Linked DNA regions of Stegostoma tigrinum. The protein of the gene in region 1 interacts with the protein of each later gene in a biochemical or structural test. Links are inferred from orthologs where the notes say so. Each region holds a gene or a part of one and is shown in the gene's direction. Other genes may lie near its edges.

What was found.
Region 2: the proteins of ubiquitin-conjugating enzyme E2 E1 (region 1) and nedd4l form a complex in vitro, tested with the Homo sapiens proteins (2 studies listed by BioGRID). The link is inferred for Stegostoma tigrinum from reciprocal best matches to the Homo sapiens genes UBE2E1 and NEDD4L.
Region 3: the proteins of ubiquitin-conjugating enzyme E2 E1 (region 1) and trim23 form a complex in vitro, tested with the Homo sapiens proteins (4 studies listed by BioGRID, with this or other methods). The link is inferred for Stegostoma tigrinum from reciprocal best matches to the Homo sapiens genes UBE2E1 and TRIM23.

What each region holds. Positions count from the first base shown.
Region 1 is NC_081355.1:64,890,467-64,894,066, reverse strand, and holds the start of ubiquitin-conjugating enzyme E2 E1, read left to right. Parts: upstream 1-847; 5' UTR 848-1,466; coding exon 1,467-1,696; intron 1,697-2,250; coding exon 2,251-2,301; intron 2,302-3,600. UniProt on the Homo sapiens protein: Accepts ubiquitin from the E1 complex and catalyzes its covalent attachment to other proteins. Catalyzes the covalent attachment of ISG15 to other proteins. Mediates the selective degradation of short-lived and abnormal proteins.
Region 2 is NC_081354.1:152,020,771-152,031,902, reverse strand, and holds the start of nedd4l (E3 ubiquitin-protein ligase NEDD4-like), read left to right. Parts: upstream 1-4,262; 5' UTR 4,263-4,354; coding exon 4,355-4,894; intron 4,895-11,132. UniProt on the Homo sapiens protein: E3 ubiquitin-protein ligase that mediates the polyubiquitination of lysine and cysteine residues on target proteins and is thereby implicated in the regulation of various signaling pathways including autophagy, innate immunity or DNA repair.
Region 3 is NC_081354.1:117,892,073-117,903,204, forward strand, and holds the start of trim23 (E3 ubiquitin-protein ligase TRIM23), read left to right. Parts: upstream 1-5,618; 5' UTR 5,619-5,860; coding exon 5,861-5,971; intron 5,972-9,406; coding exon 9,407-9,569; intron 9,570-10,549; coding exon 10,550-10,671; intron 10,672-11,132.

The sequences.
Region 1 (3,600 bases):
AAGTTGGCCCATTCTGATTCGCTGAAAGTTTAAGGTGCTCAGTTACTCTCTACTTTTAATATAGACTTTAAAAGTTTCACAAATTGGTTCACATGCTTGGGTTTCCTTTCTTAAATAACCAAGTGGTCTGGAGTTTTCCCAATCTACATGAATTGTTCAGTTGCGAGAATGAGAGGGGAACAGAGTTTGGGCATTAAGGATTCTCTCCTTCCTGCAAAACCATGGGATGAAAGTCACTTAGTCTGGAGCATTTGGCATTGTTTTTAGGTTTATTACATTTATCAGTACTATAATTTTGCTTATGTCAATTTCGAAGAAGAGAATGAGTATTCCCTCTAGTATCCTAATGAATGTTGTCCCTTCACCAACATATTGCAAACAAATTATCTGGTTAATATTGCCCTGCAGTTTGTAAATTGGCAACCGCCATTTCATACGTTATAAACTACTTCGATTGATCGAGTGGTTTGGGTGTCTTTGAGATCCTGAAAGACCACATCAAGAGTTTTTAGACAAGAAAGGAAAAAAAAACTAAACTTCCTTGGAATATCAAACATGTCTGAAAACGTCTTCACTTCATTCAACAAATTATCCGTGTTGTCTTTTAAAAACATTTAAGTGTTTAAATACAAAGTTCATGAGCAATAGAATAAAAATGTCAGTGAAACCTAATGAACCAAGTCAATTAATCCGAAAATAGACAAACAATGTGCCTAGAAGTGTGTGAGTACAACTTTCTATGTAGTTACCAGACCTTGTAACAATCCCAAAGAAGCCCTGTCTCCTCCCTGCATTTGTGGTTGGTCTACTTCCGTTCCTTTCCCTGTCCGAGTGAGACACGCGTCTGACATTGTACCAGCCCTGGCAACCGGCAGGTCGGCGACAATCGCTGTCCAGATTACCAGAGAAGCAAAAGTGTAAAAAGAATCCAACAAAGAGGGAAAATAAAGTAAAAGGAGGACAGAAACACACAGCGAAAAGTATAACAAATACAAAAGTCAACATCTGACAGCAGGTTCATTCTTCAAGTCCATATGGTGCAACACTTGTTTTTTTCCACAGATTGTACAAAGTGTGGCATCCTGTCTGTTTTGTTATTGTTGTGAGGATAGTCCCCTCAATCACTCCAGAGCTGGAGCAGCTCCAGCTGATAGTGCGCAGCCGATGACGGGATATTGCTCGGTGAGTGAGTGTCAGTCAGTGCGTTGTTGCTGTGAGTGTTACACTACATCAGATACACTGTGACTCACTCTTACTGACATTGTATCCTCACCTCTCTCTATACTCTTATCTCTTCAGGTGTCCGCTTTCCTTTTTAATTATGTTAAGTTCTATGTCTTGATTCTCCATCTTTTCCGTTGTTGTCGGTGTGTTGTGTGTTTGTTTGGGAGGTGGGAGGGGAGCAGAGAGTGAGACACTGTCGTGCTTCAACGCAGTCAGTGTGTGACAGCGAGCCAGCGGTGGAGATGTCGGATGACGACTCGAGGGCCAGCACCAGCTCCTCCTCGTCTTCAAGTTCTTCACAAGCAGCTGAGAAAGAGACGAGAAACAACAACGACAGCATCACCGGCGGCGGCAGCAGCGATAACAACGGCGGCGGCGGGGGTGGTAGCGGCGGAGGGAGCAAGAGGAAAAGAGAAGCGAAGAACAACACCATGAGCAAGAACCCCAAACTGCTCACCACCAGCGCCAAGAGGTGAGTGCGGATGGCGGGGGGGTGGGCACGAGCTCCGGCCGTTGGTCTGGGGTGGGGGGGGGGGGGGGGGGGGAGAGATCATGGGGCTCCTGCTTTGCTTCTCTTCCCCTTCCCCCTTCCCCCCACCCTCCGGGGTTTCCTCCTTTCTCTCACCCGCGACACGCCAGACTTCTTTAACACCAGAGGCTCATTTGCATATTAGCTAAGATCATTTTGTACAAAAAAACAGGGCCGAGTTCTGACTCCATTGCCCCGGGTTTGCATTTCTGACGCCAACTACTTTCCACTGGGCCGGCTTGTGCGGACTCTGCTCGCCGGAGGAGTGCGGCAATCGAGTTGGAAATTTTTCACTGTATTAGCTTCTTGGAGCTGTGAGAGGCGGCCATGTTTTTCCCCCCCTCTCGCTTTCTCGTACAGGCTGAGGGTCAACGTCTTTGCTTTATTTTATTTCCCTAACTTTTTGAAGTCGTGAAATTTCGGAGAATGTGTTGGGAATGTGGCATTCTTAGTTATGCCGTGAGTTTTTAAAATGGTCAATGTTTTATGTTTGACAGAATCCAGAAGGAGCTGGCTGACATCACGTTGGATCCACCACCGAACTGCAGGTTAGTTATTTCTCATAAAATAAATGGTCTGCTTTAATATCTGCGTTAAAAGGGCGATGATAACTGGGCGTGCGATTTTTGTTTTATTTTAAAAATCTGGTTAATGAGTTAAAAGAGTAGTGATTGTTGTATTGAAACAGAAATTGGGATTCAGGCCAATTTTCTATTTGCAGAATCAAATAGAAGTTAAACGTCAGTACTTTAAACTGAAGTTTCTCTAATAAGTTTCAGTTTGGAAGCTTGAAAATTTCCTCCACGTTGAGGGGATTCCCATCAGTACTAAACTTCCTGGAAGATTCTTGTCCATCTGCATTTGGGCTGTTTCACAATTGTGATTTTTTGGGGGGGGGGAGGTACTGGGGTTACTGAAGTGTTCTGGTTGTGTATGTAATAGACGTGCTCATTTTTGATAAGTAAATGTTATGTCCTTCACAGACACCGCAAATGCGAGTAATTTGACTTTAAATGATTTTAATCAGTGCTGATAAGATGGTGACAAGTTCCTATCCAGTGGACAATTTTAAGCCTCACCTTTTCTTTTCAAAACAAAACTCCTTAAATTTTTTTTAACTGCTTTTGCAAGACCAGAATAAGGTCTGCCTACAATTAATTAGTGTACAAAATGTGAGATAGTGATTGGGATGTTGTCACATTTTAGGACAAAATGAGATTTGCAGTTATGATGTCTTCTGGGTTGTAGTTCGTTCTTGTTTTCTTAATGAGAACAAAAATGGCACTCAGTACCTATGTTGTGAAAAACATTTAAAAGTCATTTCCACTTAGTTGGATCACTTCCTGTTCGAGAAACTCTTTCACTTCGCTTATAACTTGAGCATTTATTTAAAACACCACCCTTCTTGGATATTAGTCATTGATTCGTTTGTATATTTGCCCAAGATAGAGCCTACAGTTATGTTGCACATGAAAATTCTTGTGTTTTATGAAGGAGACAATTGGAACAACTCCATGAACTTCGAGTCCAGAAATAAGTTTTCGGGTATTAATTAGATTTCAGAAATGATATTGGCATGTGATGTACTCTGCGCTGTTGGTATTCCATCACAAATTGTGTATGTTTTCTCTCTAATGAGATAGTAAATGGATAAGTGAGTTTAAAACCTGTAACTTAATCAATCCATGTGATAGCATAAGCTGTGAATAAATGGGTGACAGAATCTCAAAATTACTGAAATACTGCACAAAGCTTGAGTTATAACTAAGAAATTTTGAATAATGTTTGAAATGCACTGGAGTGAATGAATGTACAACATAGGCATACTAGCTTTGGCCATAATAGTG
Region 2 (11,132 bases), on another chromosome or scaffold:
TGCGGAAGAATGGGATTGTGGGAGATATAGCAATTTGGATTGGAACTTGGCTTGCTGAAAGAAGACAGAGGGTGGTAGTTGATGGGAAATGTTCATCCTGGAGAGCAGTTACTAGTGGTGTACCGCAAGGGTCGGTGTTGGGTCCACTGCTGTTTGTCATTTTTATAAATCACCTGGATGAGGGCGTAGAAGGATGGGTTAGTAAATTTGCAGACGACACTAAGGTCGGTGGAGTTGTGGATAGTGACGAAGGATGCTGTCGGTTGCAGACAGACATAGATAAGCTGCAGAACTGGCCTGAGAGGTGGCAAATGGAGTTTAATGCAGACAAGTGTGAGGTGATGCACTTTGGTAGGAGTAACCAGAAGGCAAAGTACAGGGCGAATGGTAAGATTCTTAGTGTAGTTGAGCACAGAGATCTTGGTGTTCATGTACACAGATCGTTGAAAGTTGCCACCCTGGTTGACAGGGCTGTTAAGAAGGCATACAGTGTTTTAGCTTTTATTAATAGAGGGATCGAGTTCCAGAACCACGAGGTTATGGTGAAACTGTACAAAACTCTGGTGCGGCCGCACTTGGAGCATTGTGTACAGTTTTGGTCACCGCATTATAAGAAGGATGTGGAAGCTTTGGAAAGGGTGCAGAGGAGATTTACTAGGATGTTGCCCTGGTATGGTGGGAAGGTCTTACAAGGAAAGGCTGAGGGACTTGAGGCTGTTTTCATTAGAGAGAAGAAGGTTGAGAGGTGACTTAATAGAAACATATAAAATAATCAGCGGGTTAGATAGGATGGATAGACAGAGGCTTTTTCCTAGGATGGTGACGGCGAGCACGAGGGGGCATAGCTTTAAATTGAGGGGTGAAAGATATAGGACAGATGTCAGAGGTAGTTTCTTTGCTCAGAGAGTAGTCAGGGAATGGAACGCTTTGCCTGCAACGGTAGTAGATTCTCCAACTTTAGGTATATTTATGTTGTCATTGGATAAACATATGGACGTACATGGAATAGTGTAGGTTAGCTGGGCTTGAGATCAGTATGACAGGTCAGCACAACATCGAGGGCCGAAGGGCCTGTACTGTGCTGTCATGTTCTACGTTCTATGTTAACAATTCCTGTCCCTGCTGTATCCGTGGGTCAGTTTTTGTCCAGTGTGTGCAGGAGAGCTTCCTGACACAGTATGTAGATAGGCCAACAAGGGGCGAAGCCACGTTAGATTTGGTACTGGGTAATGAGCCTGGCCAGGTGTTATTGTATGCCAACTCTCCCTTTCCTGTGAAAACTGTTAACCATGCATTCGCATTATCAGCTTCCTGTCTCCTCTGCAACTTTGGTATTGTTTGTGTCTGTTACACCATGTCAAAATAACCTACACCAAAATTGTGAATGACATCTTCCATGATTTTGGATTTATAGCACCAACATTCTGCATCATATCTGTTTCATGTGGCGTTTGCTGTGCAATATTCCTCTAATATTTCGTCTTAGTTTCCAAATGTGTGTGTTCTTAGTGTAGCTGTTATATTATGACATAGTTCAGTTCTTGGATAAAGTTGCACATTTCCACTTTGAGTTTTCTAAAGTTCAATCCTTGGACCTCTTCTGCTTCTAAGCTTAAAAAGTTGCTTACCCTTGTGTCATTTGTGGCTCTGGCTTCTCTATTATTAAGGTCTGGATTCACCAAGTCACACTTGATTACTTGAACATGATTACGTGGTACTCTAATCCTTCACTGAGGGATGCCTACACATTTGATCATGCTGTTTGTTCCTTCAGATAATAAAACGTGTGACACTACTTGGAAGAAAGGCAGTTATCCTTTTTGTCCACATCACTATGTATTCTTCAGTCAACATAACTTAAAAACGGGTTATCTGTTCATTATCACATTCCTGTTTACACTATCTTGCTGTATATATAATAGCCCACGTTTCCTACATAACTGAAATTCAGAAAAGTGCTTGATTAACTGTAAAGAGCTTTAAACTATCTGGTGATCCTGAAAGGAACCAAATAAATGTACGTTCTTTTCTTCACAATGACATTTTCAGGCATGTGATCAAAACTTAGACTGGACAATTGACTTCATATCTGTCAATTCTGTTCATATTTCAATGACTTATTTAGATCTTGAATGAGTCACACTTTCTATGACCTGAATAGTAGGAATGCCCATGCCGTTGTTTTTGGCATTTGAAGTAAGCTTTGGTGACTTGTCTCTGATTTCATCATTGTTATTGGCCAGAACTCGGAATTGAAAAGAAATCTGCAACTTCAGCATTGTTGTCCACATCCTCAGTATTACTTCTCTCTAAGTTGCTGCGTTACCAAAGCCCTCAAAATATTTTCTACCTCTGCGCATGATTATTTTGACATTTGATTGCCTGAAATGCCATCGTCTATTAACTACAAATTCCTTGTTGTCTCAAGTGCAATAATCTGCGTCCATGTTTGCACAGAGTCCAAATCTCCTATCATCTTATCATCCATATTTTCCAACATTATCTCCTGTCCTGATGCATTTTGTTTATAATTTTGTCCTTGCCTGCAGTGCCGCTCCATTTCTGTATGTGTTAGCTATACAACCTCTAACAGCCATACAGTGCATATTTCAGTGTATCTGTTTCAGCCTCCAATGTGGCTAAATCCCTCAATCTTTGTTTGGTGGCAGGGCTGTCTGTTTCCGCAGGTCATTTCTCAAAGCCATTTCCCCATGTCATTTCTGCACTGTTTTATTTTTCTACCTGCCTTTAAAAGAAATCTAACCCATTCCAACCTGGCTTTCCATCGTCATCTTTCCCCATGTTGAAACAACTGGCAACAGCTTCCTCCTCCTTGGATAGTTTAGACAACTAAAGTTGTTGGTGTGTGAGAAAATATATCTTTGCATAAAGTTGGTCATGCATAAGACAGCCAATTTTAAAAAATCTTCTATTAGTATTGCAGTACTGTATTACCTTCTGCCAGTTTTCCAACAGATATGAGTTATAGTTAACAGTATATCTGTCTTAATTGGCTATTATACTGAACTTTAAATAAAACTGTATTTCTTGAGCTTTCCCCTGACTGAAAATAGATCTTTCATGGCTGTGTTTAAAGCAGCTGTATGTTTTTGCTCACAGAGCAGCTATAAAATTGGATTTAGTGTAATCATTAAATTTGTTTTGGTCTTAGCTTATGGAAGTAGGGTTTTAGAAACCAGCTCTCGTATTTAGACAAGTTACATCAATATTTCACAGATTCTGTAAGCTCTCCAGAGCTTTTGTAATTGCCTTTATATTCTGTCTTTCAAAATATTCTGCTGTCGTGTGATGAGATTTATTGTGGTAAATGGAGGCTGCTTTGGTCAGCTGCATGTGCTTTCCCGCTGGGGTTGCTCCCTTTGATGGAAAAGGAGCAGCTGTGAAGGCACTGTTTCAGACACTTGCTGCCTTTGGGAAAAAAATTTCTGCTGTGCATTGGAAGGGGAGTTGCATCATGTGACTGCTACCACCCTACCCCATGTTATACTGTGTAGTACTACTGATTGCCTTTATCCAATCATGCCTGGAATGCTGCCTGTCACTTGGGCTATTTCTGCTATCTGTCGCTGTCAAGCTTCAGTGCTAACCGTTTGGCAGATGGGACAGTTTTTTCTCGAGCTTACCTCTTTGCTTTCTTTAAATATGCTTTTGGCAGTGTGATTTCCTCTTCTCGTATTTTAAACTGGGCTGTTGGTGTTAAACTATGGCCCATCGACTGCGCCTTTACTTTGGATCAAATAGGAGTCACACTGATCCAGAATCGGAGATGTTAGATGAAGAGAGAGAAAATGACATCTATATGACATTCCACACTTTGCCAAGGAGGAATGCCCCTCATCCTTTCCAGGATATGCCTAGGCCTGTGTCCGATGCTGTGCTGCCTTTACAGGATCAAACCTCCTTGAGTCGCAGCTCTTCCATGTTCATTCCTCAGTTGCACAGTTCTGAGTCACGACCCACCAGGAGTTCCTCGATGCAGATATCGTTGCAGCGCAACCCTATGAATGGATATGGTGATACCAGTGTCTCGGAGTCTCTGGAACAGCCGTTACCAGACTTTGGAATGGAAGTTGGCAACAATGATGGCTTATTTTCTAGGAGCCATTCTCTTCCAAGTGTCCCTCGAAACACAGATGATCCCCCATCCTATAATATGGCTGCATCACAACAGGTTATTGGAAATGTTCCATCTAATTGTACAATAAGCTCTCTTTTTCCTGTGGAACAAAAGCCATGCAGTATTGGTCAAGATGAATTAACAAATGGGTCTCCCTCTGATCTAAAGGTTGGAGATGTACCTGTTCAACACTGCTCGCCAACAGAAATAGATCAAATGCAGTTTTCATCTTTCACTCGTAATGGACGTCCAAAAGCTCATGCCTCTGTAACTAGGCGTTGGTCTTTACAACATCAGCCGTACATGGCGGGGAACATGGGGAAATCTTGTTTTGTCTTCCAGCTCCAGCAACAGTGCAAAGGTGTCCAGGACTCCTGGATGGATTTCAAAAGGGGACGAGCATGCACAAAGGATGAGCAAGCAGCTAGGCATCCACATGTACGACTGGGGCGAAGTGCCTCTGCCACCTTTCCAGTTAAGGGAAATGCTGAGTGTTTTGGTGCTGCTGAGAGAAGGAAGCAACTCGCAGGAACACTAACTGGGGAAAACAATTCAGACATGCTTTGCGGCACTTATGGCACTTTGCCGCAAACACAGTCCTGTAAGTTTAAAATCAGACAGGAGCGAAATCAGAGGCAACCACACTTTCGAATTCTTTTAACCCGAGGATCTGAAGAGCAGAATGAAGGCTCAATAAGGGATAATGGTGGTTGTGTTCAGACAAGAATGAATTCAATCACCGGAGAGGACTCTGTGGTATGTAACCAGTTCAAAAGTGTATCTGTCACTTAGACTGTGTGTGGGGGTGCTATTTTGAGGCTAAAAGTGGGTTGGGTGAGGGGTTGGATTTATGGTGTGGGACCTAAATACAATTGGTTTCAGAGGTGAGACTGCATAAAATGAAGTTCTGACAATGCTATAACTTAAAGATGAATGGTTTCTGGTTTATTTTCTTAAATTGTGGTTTGTCTGTCTGAGGAGTGAATCTGCAGGAGTTGTCTTAATATGTTTCCAAACAAGATGTGTATAGACAAGTAAGCTATGTCACCAGTTTAGAAAGCAGGCTTGAAATCACACAAGTTGGTGTTTAATGCCTTTGTGTGCTCTTTTGAAATATGGCGTAGAAACAGGTTTCCTCCCTCAAGTATAAATCTGCACCACACAACAAATTTGTTTGTGTTTTTCAGTTTGGTAGAAGAAACTGAAAGAAGCATTTTTGTTATGAACTGTTTAAATAGTTTGCAGCTGGAAGTTGGCTGAATGTAAAGCACCAAGCATATTCTCTCTTTTCCCATCGTTTGTGTTTACTGTGTCTGATGGAAGACATGACTTATGGTCTGTCTTAGCAGGTGTCATACTTTTACTTGAGACGAATAAGAGAATTAATTTTACTGTCTACTGGCTCTGGCCCAGAGACAATTTGGGGCTGCAGATGTTCCTTCCGCTATTCCTGTAAAAGAAAAAATGAAACGAAAATATTATTTGAGCGATGTTTTTCCCTTTGCAAGTTCATAAAAAGCAAAGTTGAACAGGGTGTATATCAGGCATGCAATTCAATCCCCCAGTTCACACTCAGTGAATTCAGTTAAACTTAAGTTTTGTAGTGCTCAGTGGCAAGCACTTAGAAAAAATGGAAACAATATGAACTAAAGCAAAAAAGTCAAGGAAGAGAGATTTTGTGTCCAGAGGACGCTCATAGTCCTAACTCAATTAAATTGAATTAATAGTCATTACATAATCTTAATTCTGTGAATGTTTGATCTTTTAAAAATAGTATTTTGTACTTCTACTTCTGTCTAGTCACATGTATTACGGGCACAGTCCGTTTGTGCTGTTGTGTAACCCTCCTTTCTTAACTGGAAGCTAATGTGTTGGATCAGCTTGAGATTCTGTTAGGAGCCATCTAAATCCAGCAGAGGAAACATTGCCAGAGGAAACACTTCTGCATGGCCAATCAACAACATGCCTTCCAGATCCTGGAGTCTCCAACGTTGCGCATAAGCTAATAAAAACTTACAGCTCCTATTGGAACAGTGGAGTTATGTGTGAAACATGACTGCCTCTCCATAAGCAGCAGAACTGCTGCTGATCCAGAACAAAGGAGAGATGAACATAGTTTCAAGGCTTAAAAAGAGTAGCACTACATTGTGTATTCTTTGAAGTGCAAATTGAAACGTATTTCATACAGAGTATACTCCCCAGCCGTGCCAGCCCGCTGCCAAAACGTTTCATCTTCAAAATGCTCCAGAACGGCCTTTCTTAGCTTGTCAAATATGTGATGGAAGCAAGTATTTAATTCACAGTCAAAAATTTGTGAACAAGTACAATGTACACTTTAAAGAATATTTAAAAGCTGAATTACAGAGTGATTGAGTCACAGAGATATACAGCATGGAAATAGACCCTTTGGGCCAACTCAACCATACTGACCAGATATACTAAATCTAGTCCCAATTGCCTGCATTTGGCCTATATCCCTCTAAACCTTTCCCGCACGTGTACCCATCCAGATACCTTTTAATTGTTGTAATTGTACCAGCCTCCACCACTTCCACTGGCAGCTCATTCTATATATGCAACACTATCTGTGTAAAAAAAAAGTTGCCTCTTAGGCCCCTTTTATATCTTTCTCCTCTCACCTTCAACCTATGCCCTCTAATTTTGGTCTCCCCCACTCTGGAGAAAAGTCCTTGCCTATTTACTCTATCCATGCCTATCATTTTATAAATCTTTGAGATTTCCCCCTCAGCCTCCGACACTCTCAAGAAAATAGCCCCAGCCTACTCAGCCTCCTCCTATAGCTCAAACTTTCCAACCCTTTCAATGTCCTCGTAAAACTTTTCTGAACTCTTTCTAGTTTCACAACATCCTTCCTTTAGGAGGGGGACCAGAAGTGAATGCAGTGCTCCAAAAGTGGCTGAACTAATGTCCTGTACAGCCACAACATGACCTCCCAACTCTGTACTCAGTGCACTATCAACCTGTGACCTATAAGTAACATGCAACTCATCCACTTGGCAAAAAAAACAGCCAAAGCAGTGCAGTTGCTAGAAATCAGAAACTGAAACAGAAATTGCTGTTGAAACACATCTGGCCACATCTGTGGAGAGAAATATTTCAAGCCCAGTGACCCTTCAGGGAGTCCTGTGGTCCTGGGTGAATTAAAATCATGAAAGATGAAACTTCATTTGGAATCCACTTAACGTTAGTCTGAGCTGGAGACAGTCACTAAGGAATGTGATGTGGCTGTGGAAATGATTTTTGGACAATACCTTGTGAAAAATCAGTACTGCAACGAAAGTAGTAACGGTGACCCAGAAAAAGGATTAGAATGGAAATCTTGAAGGAGAGAGGCGCAGAACTTCTTTAAGCTGGACACTTCTGGAAGAGATGTGGCAACAAGTTAAAACACTAAACACAAAAACTCAAAGCTTGAGGATGCTTGAAATCAGAAACCAAAACAGTAATTGTTAGAAAAACTCAGCAGGTCTGGCAGCATCTGTGGTGAGAAATCAGAGTCACCATTTTGGATCCCAGTGGCTCTTCTTCAGGGTCCCTCAGATTTGTGACTGTTTCCATGGTGAGTGAGCACAGCACAAACTCGTGGAGGTGAGTTTGGGTTCCGGTGGTGCCTGTTTCCAGTGCAGATTCATCGAGGTGGCAGCGGAGGTGGGTTTGGGCCCAGTTCAAGACCTGGCTGTGCCAGCAGCAGTTATATCAGAAACTTGGGCCTGAAGTGGACTCATGGTGATGGCGAAGTTGAGTTTGGACTGTGCAGTAGCCAGTGACATTGGTGGCACCTGCTATGCCGAGGTCCAGCGAGGACTCATAGTGCTGAGGATGTTGGAGGTGAGATGGTGCTGAAAATTGGCAACCTTTATTCTAGTGGCCATGGTGTGGTGCGGCCGTCCGTCTGACGAAGGGCCTAGACCCAAAACGTCAGCTTTTGTGCTCCTGAGATGCTGCTTGGCCTGCTTCATCCAGCTTCACACTTTGTTATCTTGGATTCTCCAGCATCTGCAGTTCCCATTATCACTCATCATTAAAACTTGTTTTTCTGAGTGTAAACAAAAGCCTATGACAGGTCTGTTCTTTAAGTTCTGGCCTGTTTTACATCCCTGACTTTGACTGACTTCTGGTGGTTGTGTTTTCAACCTGGGCCTCAAACACTGGCAGTATCCGTGCTAAACATCTCACTACTTAAGAGGCATTGTTGGTGGGAGATGGTGTCTACACAGCATTAACCTCAGTCTCTGGATCACTGGGAAAGTGATGCAGAAAGTGAGGTTAATGCTGTGTGGACATGGGTGCAGGTCCCATCGTGCTAAATTAGAGAATTGCAGAGTGATTTTGGCATTCATACCCACTTAGAAAAGACCATAAGATGCACCAGCAGAAGGAGGCCATTTCAGCTCATCAAGTCTGCTCCGTCTTTCAATGAGAATCCAAACTCCATTTTCCAACCTTTTCAATGTGATCCTTGATTCCCTTGCTGATGAGAAATCTATCCACCTCTGCCTTGAATATAAGTAATGACCTAGCCTCAGCAGCCTGAGAGAACTTGGGAAATAAACAATCAAGTCTTGAAAAGAGTCCACCTTACAGAAGAGGTGGTGGTGTTGGAGGTCTTAAAATACATGAAGGTAAATAAATCCCTGGGACATGATTGGGTGTGTCCCAATACATTGTTGGAAGTTAGGGAAGTGATTGTTGGGATATTTGTATCATCAGCAGCCACGGGTGAAGTGCCAGAAGACTGTGAGCGGTGGATAAGGTTGTGGCATTACTTAAAGTCTGTACAAAAAGGCAGGAAACTAAAGACTGGTGAGCCTGATGTCAGTGATAGGAGGGCATTCTGAGAGGCAGGCTGTGTATGCATTTGGAAAAGCAAGAACTGGTCAGCGATAGCATGGCCTTATGCATCGGAAATTGTATCTCAGTTTTTTTGAAGAAGTGACTGAGAAGTTAGATTGCAGAGTGGTAGATGTCTGCATGGACTTTAGCAAGGCTTTTGACATGGTTCCACATGGCAGACTAGTTAGTAAGTTCAGATCACGTAGGATTCAGGGAGAGCTTGTCAATTGGATTCAAAATTGACTTGACGGTAGGAGACAGAGCATTTGTGCTTCGGACTGAAGGCCTTTGATTAGCAGTGTGTGGTAAGGATTGGTGCTGGGCCCACTGCAGCTTGTAATTTATATAAACTATTTGGATGAGAATATAAGATGTATCGTTAGGAAGTTTGTGGATGACACCAAAATGTTGGTATAGTGGACAGGGAGAAAGTTATCCATAAGCACAACAGCATCTTGATCAAGTGGGCCAATGGGTTGAAAAGTGGCAGGCTAATTTAAATAAATCCAAGGTGTTGCATTTTGGAAAGACAAACCAGGGCAGAACTTAGACAGTTAATGGTGGGGCCCAGGGGAAGGTTGCCAAACAGAGATCTTGGAGTCCAAGTACATAGCTCCTTGAAAGTGGCATCACAGGCAGCCAGAGTGGCGAAGGTGGCTTTTGGCATGCTTGCCTTCGTTGGTCAGAGTATTGAGTATAGGAATTTGGGTGTCATATCTCAGCTGTACAAGACGTTTGTGAGGCCACCTTTTGGAGTACAGCATACAGTTCTGGTTGCCCTGCTATAGGAAGGATGTCATTAAACTGTAGAAAAGATTTACAAGGATGTTGCCCAAGACTGGACGGTGAAGTTCTAAGGAGAGACTGGGGTTTTCTTTTTGTCTGGAGCATAGGAGGCTGAGGGGTGGGTTGGGGGGGGAGGGGTCGGTGGTGGGGGGGGGTGACCTTTATAGGAGTTTGTAAGATCATGAAAGGTATAGATCAGGTGAATAGTCAAGATATTTTCCTTCGGGTGTAGGCGTAAAGTGAGATTAGATTAGATTAGATCAGATTAGATTCCCTGCAGTGTGGGAACAGGCCCTTGGGTCCAACAAGTCCACACCGTCCCTTGGAGCATTCCACCCAGGGGGAGGGGAAAGACGTGAAAGGGACCTGAGGGGCAACTTTGTCTCACAGGATGTGGTGCACGTATGTAATGAGTTGCCAGAGAAAGTGGTGGAGGTGGGGTGTGTGGTTACACCATTTAAAGGGCATCTGGATGGATATGTGAATAGGAAGTGTTGAGAAAGATATGAGCCAAATGCTGGCAAATGGGACTAGATAAATTTAGAATTTCTGGTTGGCATGGATGAGTTGGACCGAAGGGTCTGAATCTGTGCTGTATGACTCAATAAAGAACTCTGAAGATTCACTACCACCTCAGAGAAGGAATTCCTCCCCATTTCTGTCTTTTTATTCAGAACTTAGAAAAATTTACAAGTGGATATGGATAGCAGAAGTGAAAAAACCAAACTTGACAGATGGAGTTCCAAATAGATAAATATGAGCTTGTCCAGTTTTGGTTAGAAGAATAGAAAGTGAACTTATTGTTTAAGTGATGAGAAATTTTCGAATGCTTGGGTGGAAAAGGATCTATGTGTCTTTGTACATGAATTACAGGAAGCCAGTTTGCAGGGGCAATCGGTAATAAGGAAGTCAAATTGAATTTTGGCATTTATTTCCAAAGGAATAGAATATAGAAGCAGGGAAGTGTTCTGCAAATGTACAAGGTATTAGTGAGACTGCACCTGGAGTATTGAGTACGGTTTTTGACCCTTTACTTTAAGTAGTTATTTGTACTCGGGGAGTTCAGAAGACATTCTCCAGATTTATGTCAAAGGTGAAGTGTTTGCTTTATGAAAAGTGATTGAGCAGTTTAGGCCGATACTGTGGAGCTTAGAAGAATGAGAGGAGATGTAGTTGAAGTATGTTGAGAGATGGACAATTTAGATGTAGGACGGATATTTCCTCTGATGAGCAATCTCGAATGAGAGGTCATAGTTTAAGGATAAGGGATAGCAAATTCAAAACTGATGAGGAGGAATTTTCCTAAAAGCTTAAGAATCTGTGGAATTCACTAATCCAAAGTCTGTCTGATGGC
Region 3 (11,132 bases), on another chromosome or scaffold:
TGGAAGATCCAGCAACCATTCCTGCCCATGAGAAACCCATGTCTCTGTTATGGCCACAACATCATAGCACCAGGTACTGATCCATGCTCTAAGTTCATCACTTTTATTCCTGATACTCCTTGCATTAAAGCAAACACACTTTAACCGATCCCTTGGTTCCTTCCCAGGAAAATCCTTCCCACTAGCTGGTCTACCTCTTGCTACTGCCTCACCTGCATCAACGCTCACCTCTGGTACACAGCTCAGGTTCCCACCCCCCTGCCATACTAGTTTAAACCCTCTCGAACTACTCGAGCAAACCTTCCACCCAGGACATTGGTCCCCTTCCAGTTCAGATGCAACCCGTCCTTCTTGTACAGGTCCCACCTTCCCCAGAAGGCATCCCAAGTATCTACATATCTGAAGCCCTCCCTCCTACACCAGCTGCGTAGCCACGTGTTCAGCTGCGCCCGCTCCCTGTTCCTCACCTCGCTATCTCGTGGCACCGGTAGTAAACCAGAGAACACTACTCTGTTCGTCCTGCTCTGCAGCTTCCATCCTAACTCCCTGAAATCACTTTTTATATCCTCAATCCTATTTCTGGCTATATCATTTGTGCCAATATGTAACACGATTTCTGGCTGTTCGCCCTTCCCTTTTAGAACCTTATACACCCGATCGGAGACGTCCCGGGCCCTGGCACCAGGGAGGCAACATACCTTCCGGGAATCCCGATCTTGACCACAAAATCTCCTGTCTATTCCCCTAACTATCGAGTCCCCTACCACGAGTACTTTTCTATTTTGCCCCCTTCCCTTCTTTGCCACAGTGTCAGGCTCAGTGCCAGAGAACTGACTACTATGGCTTTCCTCTGGTAGGTCATCCCCCCCAGCAGTATCCAAAACGGTATACTTATTGCTGAGGGGAATGCCCACAGGGGATCTCTGCACTGTCTGTCTGTCCCCTTTCCTCCCCCTAACTGTTACCCATCTATCCTCGTCCTGAGCCTTAGGAGTGACCAACTCCCGATAACTCCTCTCAATTACCCCCTCTGCCTCCCGAATGATCCGTAGTTCATCCAGCTCCAGCTCCATTTCCCTAACACGGTTTTCAAGGAGCTGTAGTTGGGTGCACTTCCCGCAGATGTAGCCAGCGGAGACTCAGGATTACTTCCAGTGCCACAAGCTAGTCAGACTAGAAACAGCAAGATATAAAGGATGAACAAATGGCTGAAAAGATGGTGTGAGGGGGAGGGTTTCAGATTCATGGGGCATTGGGACCAGTTCTGGGGAGGTGGCACCTGTATGAACTGAATGGGTTACACCTGGGCAGGACCGGAACTGATGTTTTAGGAGGCACTTGGAAGAGTGGTTGGGGAAGGTTTAAAATAATGTGGCCAGGGGAATGGGAACCAGACCAGTAGGGCAGTAAATGCAGAAATTGAGACAGAGGTAGTAACCAGGGCAAACATGATAAGGAACAGGCAGAGAAATGCTGTTGAAAAGAGCAGGGAAGGTAGTGTGTGAAATGTATGTGTTTCAATGCAGGAAATACAATTGGCAAAGTGGATGAACTCAGATGATTGGTTAGTACTTGAGACTATGACACTATTGCCATCATGCAGACTTGGCTGAAAGAGGGACAGGACTCAGCCGAATGTCCCAGGATTTGGATGTTGCAGGTGAGATAGAAAGGAATGTAAAGGGGTTGGGAGAGTTGCATTATTGGTGAAGGAGTATCTCATACAGCTATACTGAGGGAGGATACATCAGAGGATTCATGCAGCAAGGCAGAATGGACAGAAATTGGGAATAGCAAAGATGAAATCACAATGCTGGGGGTATAATACAGGCCTCCCAACAGCCAGTGGGAGATAGAGGAGAGATTATGTAGGCAGAGTTTAGAAAGATGTGAAGGTGGTACTGAAGCTGGCAGTGCAGATAGATAAGTTAGTAAAAAAGGCTTCTGGCATGCTTGCCTTCATTGGAAGGGATACTGAATGTAATGGTAGACAACTTATGCTGCAGCTTTATAGAATTTTAGTTAGGCCACACTTGGAATATTGCATACAGTCTGGTCACCACACTACCAGAAGGATGTGGATGCTTTGGAGAGGGTACTGAAAAGGTTTATCAGGATGATGCCTGGTATGGGAGATTTTAGCTATGAAGAAAGGTTGGATAGACTGGGTTTGTTTTCACTGAAATACAGGATGTTGAGGGGCGACCTGATGGAAGTTTATAAGATTATGAATGGCATGGATAGAGTGGGAAGTATGAGGCTTTTTCTCAGCGTGGAGGGATCAATTAGTAGGGGACACAGGTTCAAGGTGCAAAGTGGGTGTGGGGAGATGGAGTTTAAAGGAGATGTGCAAGGCACATTTTTCACACAAAGGGTGGCGAGTGCCTGGAATGCACTACCAGAGAAAGTGGTGTAAGCAGACAACACGTAAACATTCAAGAAGCACTTGGACAAATACATGAAAAGAAAGGTAGTAGAGGGATACAGAGGAAACAGTTTTAATATGGAAAGGCAAATTGTATCGGCGCAGGTTTGGGGGGGCCAAAGGGCCTGTTTTTGTGCTATATTGGACTTTGTTCTTAATAATTATTGTGTTCTGTAACATAATTTGTTTGTTTTTCTTTTGCTTAATACAGGTTTATGTTTTTCTATTGAAAGTATATATTCAATCTCTGGGGGTATGTTCAGTGATTGAACTACAAGATAAACAATGAGAAATAAAACTCATAGTCCATCAAGTCAGGTTTCACTTTGTGATTTGCCTCAAATTACACCTCAATCACAATACTACAAAATTTGTAACAGAAGTCAACCAATCTTCAGTAACAGTATACCTAACAGGTTTGCAGGTATAAAGTTTTGAGGAATTCCTTGGTAAAATGACATTAAGTTGTATCAGTCAATCTCACTTATCTGCACTATATAAGAGATAATCCACTATTATTTGTTCAGATTAGATCAAAACAGATACATAATATACAAGGAACAAATCTATTTAACTAGTTATCACAATCAAATATACCCAACAGATACTTACATCAGCACTCTGTGATATCTAAGTTTGTTACATGATTAAAACTAAAGACCACAGTTCCTACGGAAGTACAAAAATAGAAATCCTGCATGTGTCTATAAATAATGCTTATCTGTTTTCATTATTTTGAGTAAGATCATTGAAAGGATATAGGAAAACAAACCCAATTCACCCACAAAGGCTATTTTTAAAGTGAGTACTTATCTGCACGATTGGGTTTTCAAACATTGACTGTTCCAAAAATAAATGTGATGGACAGTAGAAGCAAATAAAGTTCTATTAAAAATTGGCTATTCTGTAGGCAGCTTAATTTAACCTTTTGAGCTGTTTGGCTAGGCATGCTATATCAGCCTGGCTAACTCTGTGCATTTTGTAGACATCATGCACTGCCAAGCTCCTCTCTGCAACCCTATCACTATGTATGACAATAATAAATTAGCTGGTAAATTATTCCATATGTTAGTTATCATTTGAGTAAAGAAATGTTCGGCATTTGCTGCAGATTTAACAGAACACTTAGCCAGGAGAAGCAGTGTAACAGGATAGAAATAGCAAAAGAAAGTCATTTGGACAAAATATATATGTGAGATGATCAATCACAGATCAGATATAGTGCTGACAACTGCAAACTTCTGTTTGCAAGACGAATTATGTTAAAAAGTGGAAAGGGGCTGTCTGATGAGGAGAGATCTAGTGGGTTGGGCCTATACTCATTCTACTTATTGAAATAGACTAGAGTCTTTGATTTGATTTATTGTAGTCCCATGTCCCTAAGGGCAGTGAAAAGTTTTGTTTTGTGAACAGTACAGGCAGATCATAGCAAGCAAGCATTATAGGGCACCTAGACAGAGCAAGGCATTCAAGGTTATGGCTGCACAGGAGATGCACAAAGCGAGATCAACATTATTTGCATCAGACCTGTAAGCAGATCTCAGAGAACATTTAATAATTTTTACAGACTTAGAATTTCAGTGTAAAAGCACTAAACACTTATAAGAACTGTGAGAATAAGATCTGTTGCAGAGAGCTTGCAAAAGGTAGCCCGGTGTTAGTGCCATCTTGAAACTTGGAGGTTAGGGGACTTGACAGGTTAGATGTGGAAAGGTTGGTTCTCCTTATAGGACAGTCGAGGACTATAGGGCATAATCTCCGAACAAAGGGTTGCCTCTTTTAAGATAGAAATGAGGAGGAATTTCTTCTCTCCAATGGGTAGTGAATTTGTGGAATTCTTTACTGTAGAAAGCTGTCAAGGCTAGGTAATTAAGTTCATTCAAGGATGAGATAGAGAGATTTTTAATCAAGGCCTAGGAGTTAAAGGCAGGGAAGTGGAGTTGAGGATTATCAGATCAGCCACGATTTCATTGAATAGTGGAATAGATTCAACGGGCTGAATGATCCACTTCTGCTTTTACATCTTATGATCTTAAGAATGCCACAACCCAAACTGACTGAAAATTAAGCATGTACAATCTGTGTATACAGCAAGCAAATAAATGTTAGAATGTTGAACTACATAGCGACTAGCTAATACATCAGGAGAAATAGTGATAAAACTGCTCTTTCTGGTCAATATGAGCAATGCAAAAACGAAGTAATGGGGATGCCAAAAATATGATGATTGATAAACTTTTTTTAAAAAATTGTCATTGAGAAATGATTGTCACTGCAGGCCAGCATTTGTTGTGTCTCTCTTTAATTTGCTTTAGAAGGTGGTGAGGAGCTGTATTCCTGAACCACCGCAGCCTATCTAGTGTAGGTACACCACAGTTTCTGCATGTATTCAAATAGTCTTGTTTTGCTCACCAACACATAACTGAAGTGCAGAAAGTATGCAGTGGTGAAGTTGATCTCTGCTGCCGGGTGTCTGAAATATGTGAAAAAGGTTATTGGTGTGGAAAGAGGCTAGATCTGGGCTTTGCAAAATTAAGATAAATATTACTTCAAACTGTGGAAGTATGATTGGAAATAAGCCGTACTCCAGTGAAACGCTTTGGAATGTTTAATTGCATTAAATATCATTTCTAAAATTAGCTTTTACAATTAATTGTGTTCACTTAGAATGTTTAATTACATTAAATGTTAAGTAACCACAATTAATTATTATAAAAACCGATTTTAGAGATGACAATTATTTCTTCTGTATACAGAATACATGGGTGCAGACTCGTGGAGAAGAGTGGGTACGTTAAGATAGCAATTAGCTGGTATGAAAGAGGTTTCTTTCTGGAAGATTAACTATATGTGAACGAAATGAAGACGTGTCTGTCCTCAAGCCTAATTATTCTGTTGAACTCATTTGTGTTGATGAGCCGTCTGATCAACTCCCATTACTTCGTTCTTCTTTCACTAGGTTAAACTCTCGTCTTTCCCGGTTGACATACAATCTCCTTTACAGGTGGTTTCCGTGTTCTTCCCACTTCTGGTATCAACCTGGTAAAATACATTTTCTTTTGAAGAATAACGAACGCTACCCAGATATCGAACCGAAAAGCCTTTCCTACTGTCAAAGCATTGCTCCGTTGCCAACGTCTTGTCCCAAATATGGCCTTCCACTTGTCTCAATGTGAGCATGCGCAGTATATCGCACGGCACCATCCGGACAACACCATAATGGACAAGAAGAAGGACATTTGATTTAGACAAAAATTAGACCAACGCATAAGTTTCAGAAGAATTGATTAGCTACACATAAATTTGATGTTTATTAATCGCTTCGTAATATAACGCTTTTTTGTGATTTCACCTGGGATTATTACGATTTTACCGATTTAAGATATTAATGATCCCCCCCCCTTTTTCGCGGTTTGGGAGCTGGTGTGATCCACAATGGCGGCGGCTCCGTTGAAGTTGTTGCTGACACCGCTGGGGCCAGGACTTGGGCCTGGGCCTGACAGTGGCTCTCGCAGTCTGCGTGCCGTCAACGGCTGCTCGGTCAAGGTGAGTGCGCCCCCCCAAAAACGAAGCATTCGGGCCAGTTTCAGACTGGGCTCGATCTGTGGCTAGTTTTCAGGCCTGGTCTCCCTGCCCCCTGCCCCCCCGTCCTCTACATGGCTTCTGCGTACTCAAAAACACTGGACAAATCCAAATCAACCCAGTCAAACATCACTCACTCAGTTTATTGTAGATTGTTAGCAAAGCAATAGAATAGCGTTGTGTGCAGCACTTGTCAGTGGGGACCAGAAGACTCTCCACTCGTAGGAGTCACCCCGAGAATAAAGGAAGGTAGTTGGAGTTGTTAAGAAGCCAATCATCTCAGTTCAAGAACATCACTAAGCAAGATAGGTGCAGGAAAGGTATTCTTGATGACGAGAACTCCAGAACCAGGGGTCTGGAGTTCTTTATGGATAAGAGGCAAACCTTTAAGGGCTGAGATGAGGAATTTCTTCACCCCAGAGAGTGGCGAGCCTGTGGAATTCACTACCACAGAAAGTGGTTGAAGCTAAAACATTTTATTTTCAAGAAGGAGGTAAATATGCTGTTGTGGCTAACGGGATCAATGGTTAGGGATTAGAATTTTGAGTTCAATGGCCTTACTGAATGGTCTACTCCTGCTCCAATGTTTTATTCCTCGGGCTGGATATTTTCTAAGCAACCTGTTCAGAGATAGGACCACTACCACTTTACCACAGGAGCCAAGTTCCTGAGGGTAAATATTTTCAACCAACCTTTCAGACACACTGGTGGCGGGATTTGAACCCAGGCTTTATGACCTAGAGGTAGAGACAGTACTACAGTGCATCAAGAACCATTCCAGTTCCTTGGGATAATGTGATAAATTGACTCATCTTCAGCTGCTTTATCAATGATCTTGGCTCAATCATGAGGTCAGAGGTGGGAATATTCTCTGATTATTGCCTGTGTAGGCTTGGCTCGATAAATAATACGTAATGTTTGGTGTGAGACAAATGCAAGGTAAGGACCATTTCCAACAAAAAAAATTAACCATTGCCTCTTGATATGTAATGTCATTGCTGATGTCAGAGGCTTGGCATTTTGCAGTGAGTAATTTGCCTGTTGTCTCCTCAGTTTTTCCAAGTAACAAGTCAATGGCATAATCTGTTTGGGCACCAGCTGTTCACAACATTATATATATGACTTGGCTGAGAGAACCAAATGTAACATTTTTGAGTTTACTGATAAAACAAACTGATAACTGATGAACTGAAATAAGGGCAGATTGAGCATTGTCACTGGGGAGGGAACAGGTGGTAAAGGATGCATTCAAAAACCATCTCTAGGTAAAGTAGATTGTGAAGCATCTGTTTTAATCTTGGACGAGCAAAAAGGATGGGGTTGATGGCAAGGAAAGGAGTTTGTGTAGGGACTAAAGATGATGGCTGCACTCTTCTCAATATTTCAACTGCTGCTCATCTGACATGTTGAACATACCCACAGAGGGGACCAAGAGACGTGGAGCAGGCAGTATCAGCATAAACGTGAAGTTTCCATTTGATGTTGTCAAGAAAGAGTTTGTAGATGTGAAACAGATGAGGGCAATGATGGAGCTTTGGGCATCCCAAATAATGGAATGGAATAGAAAACATTGTAGTTGATTCTCTGGCTTTGCATGGATACGCAAGAATGGAACCATGCTGGTTTTGCTCCATCAAAGTGAAAGAGGATAATGATGTCAATTATACCAAAGGGTGTGAAAGGTCATGATGGATAAAGAGGAAAGTTTATCTTTTTGTAGTTGCACAGGCATTTTGGTCATCCTGTGACATCACCACTGTGTTGATGTTTTGCCTTGTGCACGTGATAATGCATTATCTCACATGAGAAAATTGGAATTTGACATGCCAAATTCATAAATTTATGTACTGTTTTCCAAGCGCTGACATTCCAATAAGTATTCTCCTGAAAAATACTTTCGTTCTATGGTATCTTAAAAAGAGAGACTTAAAAATATTTATTCTTAAACCCAACATTTGTTGATGATTTATCCAGTTTTGTGCACAACAAAACTAAGTTTCAGCTAATGTTATTGATGGAATCATCTATCGTAGACTAGACATGTATTATCTCATAAATATACAAAAGTCAGTTTTTTTAAAATGTTTTAGACAAGCTATATTAATGAAAGGTCTAATATTTAAATTTTAAAAAATTTCCATTTGTAATTTTCATTCTGAAGCTACAACGTAATTCAGCAAAAGCTGTATGTAGTTGAGGATTGCTGGTTTATTTTATACGTTTATAATATATAATTTGCAGCATGTCTTCATTGATTATTTTTAGTGTTTCTATAATAAGTGAAATAGAGAACTACTTTGGAAATAAAAAAAATTACAGAGAAATTGTAACAAAATTGGTGACTAAGACAGTAATATTTTGACGGCAGTTTAAAGATAGCCACTTTACTTGGAATGTTAAAAACTGAGTGGCTTTGGGACTATCCAGTGTCAGGAAAGGCTAGTTGGAATAAAAGTAGTAGTATTAAAATTTCCCCCTGCCTAACCCAGAAGTACTGATGTCAGTCAATTTCTTTTCACTCCAGATCACACTTTCACTTACCAGGTTGAGGTGAAGTGAAAATGTCATTGAGTTTGGTTGTGATGTTGTTATGTTATATAGCAGCGAAATGGACCCTTCGGTCCAACCATCCGTGCTGAACATAATCCCAAATTAAACTAGTCCCAGCTGCCTGCTCCTGGGCGATAACACTCCAAACCTTTCATATTCGTGTAGTTATGTAAGTATCTTTTAAATTTTATAACTGCACTGACGTCCACCACTTCTGCAGGAAACTCATTCCACACATGAATCACCCGTCTGTGCAGAAAAAAAACTGCCCCATGTCTGATGTGAATCTCTCTGTTCTAACCTTAAAATTATGATCCCTAGTTTTGAAATCCTGCATCCTGGGGAAAAGACGCCTGCCATTAACTTTACGTATACCTCTCATTACGTCCATAAGTTTACCTCTCAACTGCCTGTGCTCCAGTGGGAAAAAAGGTCCCAGCCTTTCTTTATAACTTAGACTTTCCATACCCAGCATGTTTGGTTGAATAGTCTTTCAACATTCATTGTCAAACTCTTGAATAAATAGCCAACACTTGGGTCACAGTACTGAGGACAGCCAATGATGCTGAAATTCACACTCCAGCAAAGAGCTCTAGGGAGAATAGGACTGTTTGTTTGACCTTTTGATTATGTTGACAATAATAAAAAAAGCTGCTTTCCTTCTCCAACAGTTCAATGTGAGCTTTCGGTATAGATTATTGAATAAAAATTGAATGGGAGTCCTGAAAGGGAATCCACTGCAGCTTCCCCTAAAACTAGCAATCCAGCATCTGGGAATTATTTTTGGTTGGTTTACTTCTGTGGTATATCATGTAGTGCATTTACCCTTCTGAGTCTTTTCATTTTTAGGTTCTGGAATGTGGAGTTTGTGAAGACGTATTCTCTCTGCAGGGAGACAAAGTACCTCGCTTGCTCCTTTGTGGTCACACAGTCTGCCACGATTGTCTCACCCGGCTTCCACTACAGGGGAGAGCAATACGTTGTCCATTTGACCGACAGGTGACTGAATTAGGTTGGTCTGGAAATTTATGTTTCTAATTATTTTTGAATATTTTTAGATATCATACCATATGCTTCAGTTTAAAATTTTTATGATTTATTTTTTACAGATTGTCAAGTTTACATCAGTATGCAAATTTAATTGAACATTACCTAACTCTGCTACAACAAATTGCCAGATACTCCTAATATGGTGACATTATGCTATGGTTAGTTAGGCTCTAAATAAAACATTGCAGAATAGTAATTGGCAGGCAAAACTACAGAAGAATGGTGGGACTGACATTGTATGATGGAAAGGAAAGAATACGCTTACTGTCAGTTGAGACGTCTTGAGAAGTTGTACTGCTGTCATGGCAGTAAACTTGGTCCTTTGTAATGGAAGCTGTTGACGTTTAATCACACTATATTACTTGAGGAGGAACAAAGGAATGCTGGCCAATTGTGCTGGCTAATATTTACTGACAACCAATATCACCATGACAGATAAACTGGTCATTACTACATTATTGTTTATGGAGTTTGCTGTATGTAAGTTAACTACAGCATTTCCTGCATTTACAACTATGATTATACACTTCTTCAAAAGTATTTCATTGACTATAAAATGCTTTGGAGTGTCATAGGGTTTAGAGGCACAATATAAATGCATCATTCCTTTAAATGTTACACTAGAAAAGTTTACCATACAGGATTGAAGTAAGTTGTATGAGACAAAAAGGTGCTTGCTGCTTTGAATAAGTCTTTGTTGGCAAGTTGAGACCATTTTTGTAGTTATGATGAACTTGCCATTGTTCATGCTTGTATAGGTTTTCTTTCTCTCAGCATTTTCAAGATCATCTTCACCTGAATGGACCTAGTTTCATTTCATTATTAGACTATAACTGCAGTTTTTCTTCCCAGTCCAAAACACTTTCAATGACTTAAGGGATGTTTTATTCTACACTATTATCAGAAGATTTGACAAAGGCTGAATATTAATTCATTTGACAGGTGATTCAGGTGTCTGGGGCTTAAAGAAAAATTTTGCTTTGCTGGAGCTCCTTGAACGTTTGCAGAATGGCACTGCCAATCACCATGGACCATCTGAAGAGGTTCTTGAAATGTCAGGAGAGGTAGGTATCGCAGAATAAAAGCAAGCTCCCGCAGGTGGTGGAAATCTGAAATAGAAAACAAAAACTGCTGAAAGCACTCAGCAGGTCAGACAGTATCAAGGAGAGAAACAGAACTCACGGTTCAGGTTGAGTGACTTTTCACCAGTTGTACTACTGGTTTTTGGAACCTTTAGGAGTTAACGCCAGTATGATTTTTATTTTGTACGTATAAGCTTTCAGTTCTCACCTTCTAAACTTTGGATGGGTGAGAAATTTTGTTCCTTTTTGTTAGCGAGTTTTGAGAAGATTTGTAGCTCAGGTTGAGGTTCTGGATGTGAGTTTGCTCGCTGAACTGGAAGGTTAGTTTTCAGACGTTTCGTCACTTTTTTTATTTGAAAAAATATACTTTATTCCTAAGATGTACAAAAAATAAAACATTTATACATCTACCCAGTCATGCAAGCCGCTCCGGATTACCCAGG